Linked DNA regions of Struthio camelus. The protein of the gene in region 1 binds, or shares a complex with, the protein of each later gene. Links are inferred from orthologs where the notes say so. Each region holds a gene or a part of one and is shown on either strand. Other genes may lie near its edges.

Region 1 (7,612 bases):
AACAATAAGGCTGAATAGCTTAGAGGCTTAGTGATTTAGATTACTTGTTCAAATTCAGTCAAAATTAGGACTAATCACTAGCTCACCACTGGCAGGTAATCTAGATAAAATAGTTAGTATCCATCCTGTGTCAGACAAGTATCAAATGAGAGTAGTAAAAAAAATGTCCATATGTAAGTTCTTTCTCTTAACACTTTCCACAGGACTTTAATCCAAGAGAAAACACTTGTTTTTCACCTATATGTTTTAACCATAATTTTATTTGGTGTTTCACCAAATTCACTTTACAATCACCCTGCAGGTAGCTGAGATAAACAAATATAACACCCACAGGAGAACTCCAGGTCAAATTAAGATGATACTTAATCTGTAAATCAGGAGACCTAGAGTCTACCACCAATTCAATCATATGGCCTAGGGGGGAAAAAAAAAAAAAATCACCTTGTACACTGACTTCTTTATGTAAAAAAAAAAAAAAAAAAAAGAGATAATTATATTTCTTTTTAAAATGCTTTGAGAATTTTAATACAAGGGATGTTTTAAGTATGTGGTAACTATTATTTGGTTGGCAACTGCAGCATACAGTATATGGACTGACCAGCCTTAGAAAATAAAGTCATCCTTTCACATAAGTTTTTAGCAGAAGCAGGGGTTTATACCAGTGTAAAACAGCCAGTCCACTTATTCCGTGCCAGCATTAAGTAGTTTGTAAGGCCACATAGAGTGAATCAAGCCAGGGAACCTATCCAGATAAAAAGTAATTTTTTTTCCTAGGGGTTTATTTCTTTCAGCAGCAGTATTGGCTAACAATTTCATGGGTCTGTGAAACTACAGTCTTAATTGCTCAGAAACCCAATTAAAACAGTCCTCCACTGTAATGAAGTACAAAGCGGCAAGTATTATTGACCATAGCTCACCTTGCTTTGGAGGACTTCAAAATTCAGGGACCGTGAAGTCATCTCCTCTTACAGACATTTACACACATTTTAAAACAATAAAGTTTTGACCAGATCAGTAAGTAACCTTTCTCAATCATGTATATCTAACTAGCAAACACTAACTGAACCTGAGGGAACGGCCGTGTATTCTCCCTTGCAGTTCTGTATGGTTAAATGCCCTTGATGCATCTGTTTGTTAATGCAAATACTTCCACTGGTGACATTCTCCATTTCCCTAAAGCAGTTAAATCATTTTTTCTTCCTTTTCAAAACATAAGGATAAACTATTTTCTTCTACAGGTCAAACTGTAAGGAGAAAAAAAACAGTCTGTTTAGAGTGTACCACAAAAGACTGGACAATAAAAAATAGGCGTTTGAATGAAAACACTTAACGGTTTCAGAAGGCGACAGTAACACGCAACTGCTCTGTCAATGCCTTTTAAGCATTTCTGGGAAGGAAAATATACAGCTTTTTAGTAGCTTTGTAACATTTAATATTAAAAAATTTTGAACATACATTTAAATACTACACAGTGCTCAATATTCAGCTGAAAGTAAAAACAATCTATTTTGATTTCCTCTCCCATATCCCTATTCTATTAACTTAGCTTACACAGGATCTCAATCAACTCTTTCTTTTTAGAAAAGATTTAAAACAAGAACTTGGGAGGCATCAGATTAACTTTGTAGGGGCTTGGCTTGAATCAAAGGAAGCAGTTCTTTGGGTAACAGGTGGTTGGGCTGAAAAGCTCTTTTGTCAAACGATGTTTTCAGCACTAAAAATTTACATAGGATGAGCAGAAAACCGGGCACGGAAAATTTGTAAATAATTATGACTACATACATTCAAGGAAGACTCTGAGTTGAAAGTGACTGGAGGCTAGCTGAACACAAGGAGCGCTGTACGCTTGCTTCTGCTGCTCCTTTCCATTCTCGTACTCTGCTATCTCCTTTTAATAGGATATAGCTCTTATGTACAAACGCATTCTCAGTTCTTATTATTGCTTATTTCTTGAGCACGTAAGAGTAATCTTCATTGCTACCGACAGGGCAGCCATTTAAAACCAAAGCGTAAGTAGCGTTGGCACAGACAGGTACTAAGGTAATTCTAATAGCACAGAAGGATCCAACATGTCAAGGACCACCCAGAGTAGAAGTACAACACTGGCGTGAGAATTTTCAGGATATAACAGTCATGAGTATCTCAAGTCTATCCACTGTGTTAATTGCATTTTTGTTGCACAGCAAGTACGAGACCACGACCCGAGGTAAAGCAGAGATGCACGTGCTACCGTATACGTCCATCTGGAAGAAACGTTTGAATCCGGTCTGCTGAAGTGCGGCTTTCCTCCGAACCTTCAGCGTTCCCCGGGGGAGATAAGGGGGAACTAACACCATCAAGCACCACCACTGCAGCGGCGAAACCCTCGTGAGGCGGCGGCACCGCGGCCCAACCGGCGGCCGCCGGCCCGCCGCCGCCACCACCACCACCCCAGCCGCAGCCGCGGGGCCCGGGCGGCGCGGACACCGCCTCGCCTCCGCGGAGGAGCCGCTCCTCGGTGACCGCGAAGCCGCTTTCAGACGCACAACCCCCGGCCCGGGCGGCGGGAGGCAACGCCGCCTACCTCCGGCCGCGTCCCGCTCGCTGCCGGCAGGGAGCAAGGGGCCCGGGCTCTGCCGCTCCGCCGCCGCCGCCGCCGCCGCCGCGGCAGGAGGGGCCCGGGAAGGGCCCGTTATGGCCCCCACGCCCTGGCCGAGCCGCTCTCGAGCCCCGCCAGCGCCCTCTCCTCGCCGCCGCGGCACGCCGGACCTACCTGCAGCGAAAAGGCAGCGGCGGCGGTAGCAGCAGCAGCGCCCCGGGCCCGGGCGTGTGCGTAGGGCGCTCGGCCACGCCCCTGCGACGACGGCAACGACCTCCGCGGCCCTCAACGCCGCCGGCAGCGGCTCCTCGGTCGCTCCGCCAGCGCCCCCCCCTCCCGCCACCGCCGCCACGGGTCCCTCAGTTCGGCGCCGCCATTTTGTCGGTGCCTCCGCCGCGGAAGGTTTCCCGGATATAGGCAGCTCCCAGCCTCCTTTGCGCCCCCCCCCCCCCCAACCCGGTATGGAATGCAGCGGCCGGCGCGGCCCAGCCGCGAGCGCCCCACGCGGGCAGGGCGGTGCGTCCCCCCCCCCCCCCCCCCGCCATGGTAAACGGCCGTTTGCCCCCTCCCCCGCCCGGCGCCACTACCTTGTAGCGGTAACGGGAGCTGCTCCACACGGAGCCCCCCGCAAGGGGGAAAGAGGTTTCAGGCATCGCTTTTTTTTTTTTTTTCCTCTCCTCCTTTTAATGGCACAAAAACCTCGTCAACCTGGAGCCTCGTCAAGCGCTAGGAGTCTAGTGAAGCTGAGCTCAAAACCCGGTTAATCACCACAGCTGAGCTCGCATGGTATTATCGACTGCAATAGATGCTCACCACGGCTGCGAGCATGCTGATCAATAAACTTCGGTTTTCCAAGGGGAAAGATCGCCGACACGACTGAATAAAAGACTTCTTACAGACCCCCATCTATAAGTTCCCCAAGAAGAATGATCACTTCCCTACTCAAGCAAAGTGTCCCATTTCAAACAAATAGGGAAATTTAAAAACTAAAATTTAAAACTAGTAAGCCTCCTAGCAACTCAAGTTCTTTTCTGAAGAATACCCCTTAACTAAGGTACAACCCACGTTCTTCAGCTAGACACACAGGAAATTCAAATCAGGCAAGTCATTGTGAGAAAAGATGAAGAACACTCTTCTCACCGCCTCGAGAGTGAAATACTCTAAAGCTGTTTCGCTGACGAGTGATTTTTAAAGCCTTATAACTCCATCTGCTGCTGCCCAGATCCTAAGATTTCCCTCAAAGTGCCAAATCCCATTCTCAAACCCAGTCCAGAGAGCTCTTAGGGTTATTTACCCTCCTGCAACAACAAACTAAAAAGCACATCTACTAAACTAATCTAGTAAGTCAGGCCAGTACTCTTGTGCAAAATACTTTATTAAAAAGAGAAAGGGTTCTCTGCAACAAAAGGTAGGTACAGCAGTCATCCTAAAATTAATTTTTCAAAGATTGCAAAACAAGACTAGATGGAAAACTGATAGCGTCAGTCATGGTCTTTGTCACAGATGGTCTTTGTCACAGATGTGTCTCCATCACATATTTTAAAACAGCCAACATGTCCATCACTTATGGCCACTGAGCTATAAAAACACTTTTCTGATGAGAGAGTTATAGGCACATTATCCAGATGGAGTTTTAACACGTTGTATCCGTGATGAAGTTGTAGTAATCCAAAATAATGCTACTAAAATGCTAAAAGTCTTATAGGACCTTTCATATTTTACAGCTTTTACAGGTTTCCTTTCCAGTTCTCATGCACCAGCGTAAAAAGCTATGCTTCCAAAAAATATATATATATAAAAATCTCAAATAAAAAGCAGTCTCTCTCAGCCGACATAAAAAGAACATCAAAGAACCTTATGATTTGGCCTTAACATGTGGAATGTCTCTACATATACATGAATAATCAGGGGTTTAGTTTTTCTTCACCTTGTGCATTATGGACATCAGCTAAGAACAAACATCTTGCACTTACAGCTAGCTTCCTGCTTGCCAAAATGAAGCAGGCAACGGGGAAGAAGTGAGATCAAGCTTACACAAAAGCTGGTTTAATTACCCATGGTAGAGCATGAATAATAAGGGGCAACTTTAAGAGTCTGAGGTAACTTGCATTCCTTTTGCAATAGCAGAACTAAGCTGTAGGCCTCTCTCCCACATGCTCATAACAGTTTAGTTGGAAACCCTCATGAACCTGATGCGTTTCCCAGTAGTTCAAGGTGATTCAGAGTGACACTGAAGTAGTTTCATGCAAAAAGGTGTCTGTTAACATAAATAGCCTCTGCATCAGTACCATACACTAGACATGGTCCTAAAATATCTAAACTGTTCACAGACAAAGTCTGATGTGGAATTAAGTTGGTAATCTCCATGCGGTCTTTGGTAGGATCGTTGCTTAGCCAGGCACTTACTACAGATTGGTTAACGGTATTGTGGGAAAAATATGTAGTACTTCTTCCTCCTGAAAGTGAGGGAAAGGGAAAAAAAATTAGTTCCAATTTAGTTTAGTCTCAGAATTTGGAGAAACATAGCAACTAAAGGAGAGACATAACGGGAAAAGCATTTTAAATTTAAATCAGTTTTCAGATTAGCTAAATGATGTACTAGTCTTCCTGGTAAACAACAACAAAATAGCTAAAAGCCAAGTACTTCAAATGTTTACAGAAGCCTGCTACCAGCTCTCTCCTCAGTTAAGAGGGCAAATAAGTCAGTACAACTAAGAACCCATCTCATTGAGCAAATAGTATGAGCAACTACAAGTTTTTCTAGCTGAAGACTAAAGCAATGGACCTATGAACCAAAGTCCACTTACGCAGTGGCCTTGCTATATTTGAGGCATCAGCTTTGCTGTAATAACATTTACTCCCCACTGTACCTTCTCTCTACCTAATCTGGAGAAAGTGATATACCTGGATTTGACTTCAAGCTTTTTCCACAAAAAAATTCAAATCCAAACTGAAGTTTTGCAGTTTGAGAACTATCAGCCAGTATAAAGCTTACAATGGTTTAAAATGGTGCACTTAAGGGGTTATGCAGTATACCTGAGAACATGCAGAGTGCGATTTGACTCTCAGTTATACTATTATTCCCCTGTACAGAACTCAACTTTGAATGGCAGCTTTGAGGCCAGAGGCAGAAGATATTTGAAAGTTCTCCACTTCCCCCACTTCAGAGTTTCCCCTCTGAAGTTGCAAGCAATTAAGCAGTCTGAGATTAGAAAGCAAAAAGGCATTTTTACATCAGTTTCATGTCTTTGAAATCCTACCATGACACAAAGGCATACAGTTTCACTCACTGACAATCTTCCACTTATGACTTGGAAAAACTGCCTAAAGATTAAATTCATAATTCCACTATCCCGTTAACTTATAAACTATATTGGTGTTACCGAATTTTATATATCTCCCTCTGAGATTCAGGTAGCAATGTGTCATTTAGGCCTCTTTCATGTCTGGTCCGCACGGATGTGATTTAAGTGAACTAAATTTATCCCTGAAATTCTTTATGCGCCCCTTCACACACTAGACAGAGCACAGTGAGGATAGATAAAAAACACTGCTTATCCCCGTAAGTACTTAGTTGTCCTAGAGTGCCTACCCGTGTCTAAGAAAAGAAGTTGGATTTTTGTTTTCTGTATTGAGTTAGTAATAGAGAATATAAGATCAAGTGCTTTACCTAAGTTGCCAGATGACAAATTCAATGCAAGCTGACTTCAAACATCCTTACCTTGATGAAGGAAAGATGGTTTTTCAGAAACGCTTGTGGACGTATCCCAGTGCCAAAGAGATCCGTCTTCAGAACATGTAAATAAGTGATCTGGGTTGGAGGGATGGAAGTGAACTTCCCACACTAGAAGTAACAAGAGAAGGAAAAAAAAACCCAAACACTAACAACAATAAAACACACATACTTATTGGCATGCAAACCATGCTCCTCGTGATTTCTACACTGCTGTGATACTAAAAGGGGTTTGATACCTCAATTACACAGGTTATTCAATCCAACAGCAAATATGTTTAGTTACTATAAAACTATGAGCCTACTTCAGGCTACTGAAACTACTGAAGTTTATTTATGACAGTATAAAGGTAACTTTTCAAGTATCAGCTAGGATGGCTTCTTTCAATGGGGACAGCTGTCAAGATACAAAGCCATCGTCTCACTTCCTGGTATTTCAAACACGCTCATTTATCCAGCTAAGTAGTGCAGTAGGTGCCTCACAAAGGCCACCAAGGTCCTGGTATTGCAAAGTACAGAATCTAAAACTGCAATTCATGCACATGTAAAAAGGAATCACACATATAACAGTAAAATAACGCTACTACAGGTATTTTAAAAACAAACAAACCACACTCTTGGCCATATGCAGAAAGAAGCTACATAGCCAATGCCTTCCAGTTACACTAAGGAAAAGGGAAGGAAGACAGACTAATCAGCTCCAGTGAGAGAAAAGAGCTTCTAATAAAGAAGAATACTGCTTTCTGTTGGAAGTTGAAACAGGTTTTCCTTACTTTTACGGATTAATGAATCTAGACCTCAGGCTCTGAAGAGGAAAAAAACCATTTCACAAACATCAAATACCCAGCTCTGCACTGTGGCTAGTAAGTACATTCTATATCATACAAGAATCCAGGCCTCACCAAAACCTTGCATTCTTAAGGGGTAGGGGGGAACTACCATCAGTTATTTGCTGCAATCTTCCCTCCCCTGAAAAAGCAGATCACTCATTTTGCTGTACTTTCAACACTGTGAGAGTTGTTAGAAGTTAAAAGCTTGTCTGAATTCAGACATTCTCAATAGCTTTCTCATGCTTTCTTCCCTACTATTAAGTTTAAAATTTGCACACATCAAGCATTCCTTCCCAGAACAGTCATTTTGTGTCTAAATACCACAATTGTCAAAACAGTTAAGTCAGTAAAAGTTCTTATCTCAAGAAACAATGTACTCCCTAAATATAACTCTAGTATTGAATCAATAAATTGCCAGAACAGAAAGAGTCGCTACCTTCTTGTTCATATAACGGTACCAGGAAAGTGAAC
Region 2 (6,832 bases), on another chromosome or scaffold:
TACCTATCAAAACCACCTTCCTCCCCCAGCCTCACCCCAAACGCCTGTCCACAGCCACATTTCCAACTCACTCTGCTGCCTTCAGTAGCAGCAGCACAGCCCTACACACACCCAGAACAGCCCTTTCCAGCTCATCTGGTACATCCATCAGCCTACCATCCGGTAGACTACCTAGCCCCCACCCCAAAGCAGAGAAGAGGTCCTAGAGCCTGCATGGAGCAGGATGAAGAAAATGACAGAAGGGGTGAGAGGGAGAGAGGGAGATCCCGGCCCCTGAGAAGCCAGGTCTGGAGAAGCACCGGGAAGATAGGGAGGAGGTTCCCAGGTACACTGGATACACTGTCCAATACAGAGTCCTGGACAGAGTAGCACTGTGTGGCACCAAAGACTGGAGCGTTAAATCAAACGGCAGGTAAGCTAGTGAGATATGCTAGTTACAGGCACAAGGTGTGAGGGACCTCAATGTGAGGGACCTCAGGACAAGCAAGCACAGATAACATGCATGCAGATACGCAACAAAAACGCATTTGGAATTTCTGCCTGGCCCTTCACAGGGGGTGAAGAGGTTTCCCACTTCTCAGCAATTTAGTAGCTAGAGAAGCCTCTAGACCTTTGAAATTCGTATGTGAAGAAAGGTCTCTGTTACGGTACCACCCACGCTACCCATGATTTCTCCAACGCAGTCACCTGCTAGCTGATACTCCTTACATGTCCGTATCCAGGCCCACTTCTGCAGTATTTTCATTAAGCAAGCCTCCATTAACACAATGCCTATCCAGCTACAAACCTAACACCAACTGTTGCCACAAAAACAATGGGCTAACCTATGCCCTGAAGCTAGACTGTATCCCTGATCATGTTTATTTCCACTAAATTAAGCTAGAATGAAAGACTTAGGGAAGCTTTAAAACCTGCCTCCCACCTTCAGTTACCGGTTGCTGCTCACTGTCTACACTGAGCAGACAGCATACAGGTACAGTCACACTGAAATCTTGCCATTCTGCAGCAACTGGGTTAAGGAGCTTTAAAACAAAACCTCCTCCTCCCCCTCTCCTGAAATTTGCCTTTTTACAACCACATCTCTAACATCAATTGCATTTAACTGGGTAGGAGACGGCATATATAAGTAAAGCATGCCGAGCACCGCAGCAATTGCACAAATCAACCTCTCAGTTGCAACAGTCTTAGAAGCAACTTGCAAAAGGCTAAGCTTAGAAAAAAATTAAACTGAAAATATAGTGTAAAACTCCAGTGATCAGTGCATAAATCTGAATCACTACTGCCCTGAGCATGACTTGAGCTGCTCAGAAATTCCTCTGTCTGCTGGTTTTCATGGACAGGGCTAATTACTTTAAAGAGAATATATTTTTTCTGCAAGTACGGCAGAGCAGGATTTGAACCTGTACAAGCACAAGGGTCTCCCAGGTCCTGGGAAAACTCCTTGATGTTTTAGTGGTTCTAGGGATGGGCTGATACACCTCAAAACCTTGAGGATTTTTAGAGAAGGGAGCAAGGCGTTAACTCAGATGGTTTTCTTGGTAGCATCAGTGGAAGATGACTCAGACCCAAAGCTCCTCAGGGCCATGTGCATTCGGGTGTATTTGTAAGTGTACCATGAATATGTCATGTGACATGACTTATCAGTATATGTCTGAACGTTCTCCTTTAACAGTGGCAAGCATTCAATGTTTTTGTGATAGTCAGTGCACATGCATAAGACATCCGTTCAGTTGTCCATACAATCTTTGGATTACTAATCAAGGACAAATCAGAATTTTATAAGCCTTTATTAGCCCTAATAGATTTTTCAACTGTCTTCACTCTATTTAACAAGATAAAGATGTTAAGAGAACCTTCCTAATGAAAGCTTGTGTTGACTTGAGATTTTTTTAACACTGTGTTTATGTCAAGCTTTTTAGCTTCTTCTCAGCCACATTACTGAGAGAGAAACCTTAAAATGTTGAGTTCTGAATCTCCTGTAGGCCAACAGATTACAGTTGTGTACAGTACACACAGACTATTCCTGGGGTGCGGAACACTCCTTGAAATCTTGAAAAAACGGACAATCTCTTACTTCCAGCTCTGTTTCAGTGTTTTTTTGTTAAGCATGGAAGTAATCAATAGCACTGGCATCCCACTAACCAGGGAAACCCCTCGAAACAACCATTCGGGGTGGAGGGACAAAACAAATCCAGGAATTGCTAAACAAGAAGGAAAAGACTCTCTGTCAAACAGAGGATGACTCTGAACTTTACAACAAACTGTATATTCGGGTTTTTTTTGGAATTTTAATCGCATTGAGATGGAGCTTTCTCATGAGGCAGAGTATCCTGAAACCTCAGCTATCAGCGCACGAAACGTGAAATTTCGAAACTCGTTACTTCACCAGTAATCTAGCATTTGAGCGACCTGCACGCCCGAGCGACCTGCGCGCCGGCCACAACCGCCTCACGCGCAAACCAGAACTCGCTAAGGCAAAGCGTGCCTTGAAAATAACTGACGCTTTCCGCAGGAGATTTTTTTTGTTTGTTTCAGGTCTTCTTAGGCGAGCACTAAAGGAAAAGGGCAGATTAGGAAAAGGAGCCGCAAGAGGAGACCCCCCCCCCCCCGGCCCGGGCAGGAAACAGGCGGTGGAGGGGAGCAGCCCAGACGCCCCCCGCTCCCCGAGGCGGCAGAGCTGCCGCCGGAGAGGGGCCGAGGGCAGGCGGCGCCCGCCCCCCCCGCCCGGCCGGCACCTGCCCGGCGCCCCAGGGGCGGCGGAGGCGCCACGCGCCCAGCCGCGAAGGGCCCCAGGCCCGCCCGGCCCCGGCCCCGCTCCCGCTCCGCCGCCCACCTGTCGCGGGGGTCGACCCAGCTGGTGGTGCGGCTGCCGTGGTCGATGTAGTACACCTTCCCGTCGTAGTCCCGCGCCGCCTCCCAGCCCGCCGGCAGCGGCAGCTCCTTCCGCGGCATCGTCCCCGGCGCGGGCCGCGCCGCCCCATGCAGCGCCCGGTCGGCGGCGGCGGCGGGGCCGGCTCCGGGGCAGGGCCGAGCCTCCCGCCTCCTCCCGGCCGCGGGCAGCGAGGCAGCGGCGCGGCGCAGCCGCCGGCAGGGAGGCGCCCTCCGCCGCCGCCGCCGGGCAGGCTCACATGCCGCCCCCCGGGCGGGCGGGGCGGGGCGGGCGCGGCGCGGCGGGGCCCCCTCACGCCTCCATTTCCTGCTGCGCTCCGCTCCGCGCACGGCGGCCCCCGCGCGCCGCCCCTCTCCCTCCCTCCTGCCCAGCCCGGCCCGGCACCGGCGGAGGGGGGGAAGGGGGATGGCCGGCCCTTAAAGGCGCCGCCCGCGCCCAGGTGCTACTGTAATGCAGGTAATAGCGCCGCCCCCGCCATTCGCCGGCCGCCGCTGCTGTAGGCGCGCGAGCGCCTCCCTCCCCCCCCCCCCGCCGCCGCCGGGCGGGGGATGGGCGCTGCGCTGCACCTGCCCGCGGGGGCGGGGCGCCGCGCGGCCGCGCCGCAGGGGGCGTTAGCCGTTAACGGCTGACGGCTGACGGCTAACGGCCGCGGCAGGGCGGGGAGGCAGCGAGTCGATGGGAGGACCGGCCGCGACTGCAAGGCGTGTTTCAGAGCGGCCCCAGCACGCTGGGGGACGTTTGTGCCCACGCTTCCCCGCCTGGCCGCTGCGGCGGGCACGGCGGCAGGCTTCGGTCAGCGCTCGGCGGCGCCTCGCGAGCCGAGTGACCGCCCGCTGCCGGGGCAGGGCGGGAGAGCTGTCGTGAGGAGCCGCCTCGCCCCCAGTTCCGCAGTCGGTTACCTCATCCAGCCGGGAAAGCAGGGCGAGGAAAAGTAAGGGAAACACGTGATAAGAATCGCTGAAAACACAGAAAAGTAATCTGAATCTCGGGAGCTGCGTCCCGAGCCGTCCGAGCCCTTGGTTTTAAAGGACGCTGTCGGAGATGCTAACTTCCGTACGGCAAGGCACATAAATATCCACAGACTGTGTAGTGTAGCCCTTTTCAGGCAAATGAGACAATCCTACAGAAAAATGCAATCCTCTTTCAGTAAGAAAGAGGAATTTAGATGCACAGCTAGACGACTAAACGTCTTCATAAAGCCTTCAGCTCACAAGACTACTCACTGAAAAAGCAAACCCCCTAGCAGCCGTTCGAGCACAATATAGACATTAAAAACTCTGCTGATGATGAAGAGAAGGGCTTTGGGAGTTGGGGGGGGTTAATATCATCCATATCTAGCAGGTTTGTCTCCCTTTCGCCCCAGGAAGAGCCATCCTCTGGGTCCCCGTTGTACAAGCGCAGTGAGAGGGTAATGCCGCTTGCAGGTTAGGCGGAGACTGTACCCATGGAGAACAGAGATGGGCTGACAGTCAAGTGCTCTTATTGTCCAATTGTTTATGCCGAAAATCAGTAAATAGACAATGACATTGAAATTACCTATATATATATACGCATATATATATATATATATGATGCTAATGACTTTTCAGTTTACACTCAAGGTGATTTTTCAAGAGTGAAAGCTCTTTGCTGTTGGATCTGTATATAAGCTAATCACTGTAAGGCAGGATTATAAAAAGAAATTACGTGACAACAAGAAAGTCCCAAATGTAAGACATAAGCCCATAGATGGCTAAGAGTGTCTACACTGTGTCTGTCGCTGTGACTCAGTTGCAATCAGTACCTGGGCTGGCTTGACTCACGCACAGCTACGGTGTGGGTAGGAAGGGACTTAAGAGGCAGTGTCCTCCCCAGTCCTCTGTCCCAGGGTTTGGGTAATGCTGAAGGCTGGAGCAGGTTGTCCATGAGAAGATGTCAGAGTAACAGTCCACATGGTGCAAAGTAATCAGGCCATGAGCTAACACGGGCAAACTGCACCTTGTGGTAATGAATCTGAGCTTTTGCATGAGATAACATTTACCCTGGGGAGCACCGACCAGCTGGTTTAGGGAGGCTGAGGAGCAGAACACCCTTACCTCAGTGTCCCTTGCAGCTTACACCAGTTTTCTACTGTGAGGCGTGAGGGGGAAGCAAGAACTTTGCTGCTCCCTCTATTGAAACAGCAGAACAGAGCACGGATCTTTGCCAAAGCACAAGGGTGGAAGCGGAGCCTGGAGGACGGGATGCAGGGAGCTGCATGGGGAAGTACTGAGCCCTGAAGGGCTAGAGAGGAAAAATAAATGCAAGAAAGACGATTAGCAATAGTATCCCATTTTGTGCCTGATTTCAAGGGTAAGATCGACATCTTTCAGGCTTTCTGACAACCCACCAGGAATCTGAACTACTGGTTCTCTGAAGGCCAACCAAATGCAGCAGCAGTGGGCTGATAAAGTGCTTGAACTGGGAAGAAAATGACAAAATGGAAAGTGAGGCATTTGGAGAATATCTGGATTTTACCCCATTTTATCTGAAGCCAAATTTGGAGGGGCAGCTAAATGTGATGCTTTTATAAGCGGTACCATATGCCCAGCTTGTAAAGTAATATTAAAACAAGAATGACGGAATAAACACTATGTTCGTCCACAGCTCTAAATAAAGCTTGTGATTGCTGTTAGAAGTGAAGACTCACTGCTGGGAACAGTGCACTGCAGCAACCAGAGATGGGACTGTCAGGACTCCTGGGTTTTGAGCCAGCAGCCTGCAACACATTTCTAGGTGACACCGGGCTAGTCGCTTCAGCTCATCATTTTCTGTTCACTCCTTTTAATCTTGGATAATGGTGTTTCTCTCTTTGTAAAACACTAGGCAAGATACTTCTCATGAAATGTAAAAGGGGGAACTGATACAACTGGAAAAAACCAGCAACAATAATGTTTTAAAATACTGCAAGAGAAAGCTAGGAGGAAAAGAATAACAAGCTGAACACAAATTAATGTCTATTTTCGTGTTCCTGTATTGTGGCCTTCTGTTAAAGCCCAGAGATACGTCCAGAAGACATGTGTCATTTTGGAGTGGGTTTTTTTTTCAAATTTTCAGAAAATATATAGATGAGATGATAGAGAAGGGATATTTAAATAAGCAGATGTTATTGTCTGTGTTTATAAAGAAACTAATAGTGTGATTTTTTTTTAAAAGATAAACTCTTTTTTTTTTGAAATAAATACCCAGGAAAATATTTGCAGGTTGTACTGACTCAAGCTGAAAGATCTTATTTTTCCATGGAACCACATGAACTTATGAATGTAATCAGGAATGTGTGTGCAGTAACTTACTGCCTTTTACCACTCACACTCACAACAAAAGAATTCAGTGGTATCAGAGTCTGTTTGAACTATAAAGCAATAAACAAACAGGTGATTGTTTTCTCATGAGCAAACAAAGGGAAGGTATGATCCCTAGGTAAGCCCTTACCTATGTGAAAAGGAAGAACAGAACAGAGAACAAAGTCTGCAGAAACCTTTTTTTTTTTGCCTTGGGTTCAATGTCTCAGCATATGACCTCATTTGCTGCACACCGACACTGCATGCAGTTTTGCAGAGTCCGCAACAGGCTGCTTCACAAATTATTCAGTAACAACAGCAGCCATTTTCTGTTGGCGATACGTGTTTCAGAGAAGCTGATTGCTTGTTGCTTGATTTCTAATGCATTCAAAAGTTTACGTTTTTGTACTTAACACTTAAAGTTCTGTTCTTAATCGAGTATAATTAACAAAAGGATGGGTGTCAAAAGCTGCTAGAACACAGTACCAGTCTCCTAACCCCAACAGGTTTCTTCAAGTGCCTGAGCTGAAAGAGGAGGGAAAATGGGTTTGAGTTCAATTGCCAGAGTACAATTGCTTTCTTCAAACCTCAGGCGTTCTTCTACTTGAAGCAAATGTTTTCTGGAGGGTTGCTTTATTCTTCT

What was found. The genes of interacting proteins can lie anywhere in the genome.
Region 2: the proteins of LATS1 (region 1) and WWC1 are in contact, whole or in part, in a crystal structure (PDB 6J68), measured with the Mus musculus proteins. The link is inferred for Struthio camelus from reciprocal best matches to the Homo sapiens genes LATS1 and WWC1. Residues at the interface, in NP_034820.1 of Mus musculus: Ala546, Glu547, Ala548, Pro549, Ser550, Tyr551, Gly553, Pro554, Pro555, Pro556, Pro557, Tyr558, Leu562, Leu563; in NP_740749.1 of Mus musculus: Asp17, Tyr23, Ile25, Asp26, His27, Arg30, Thr31, Thr32, Ser33, Trp34, Asp64, Val67, Tyr70, Ile72, Asp73, His74, Lys77, Thr78, Thr79, Gln80, Ile81.

Annotation. Positions count from the first base shown.
Region 1 is NC_090944.1:82,015,146-82,022,757, reverse strand, and holds the start of LATS1 (serine/threonine-protein kinase LATS1), read right to left. Parts: upstream 3,017-7,612; 5' UTR 2,753-3,016; intron 1,146-2,752; exon of another isoform or gene 918-1,145; intron 1-917. Other genes in the region: nucleoporin Nup43, read right to left, coding at 4,820-5,034, 6,300-6,422. UniProt on the Homo sapiens protein: Negative regulator of YAP1 in the Hippo signaling pathway that plays a pivotal role in organ size control and tumor suppression by restricting proliferation and promoting apoptosis.
Region 2 is NC_090954.1:17,999,873-18,006,704, reverse strand, and holds the start of WWC1 (protein KIBRA), read right to left. Parts: upstream 3,014-6,832; 5' UTR 2,953-3,013; coding exon 2,834-2,952; intron 1-2,833. UniProt on the Homo sapiens protein: Regulator of the Hippo signaling pathway, also known as the Salvador-Warts-Hippo (SWH) pathway.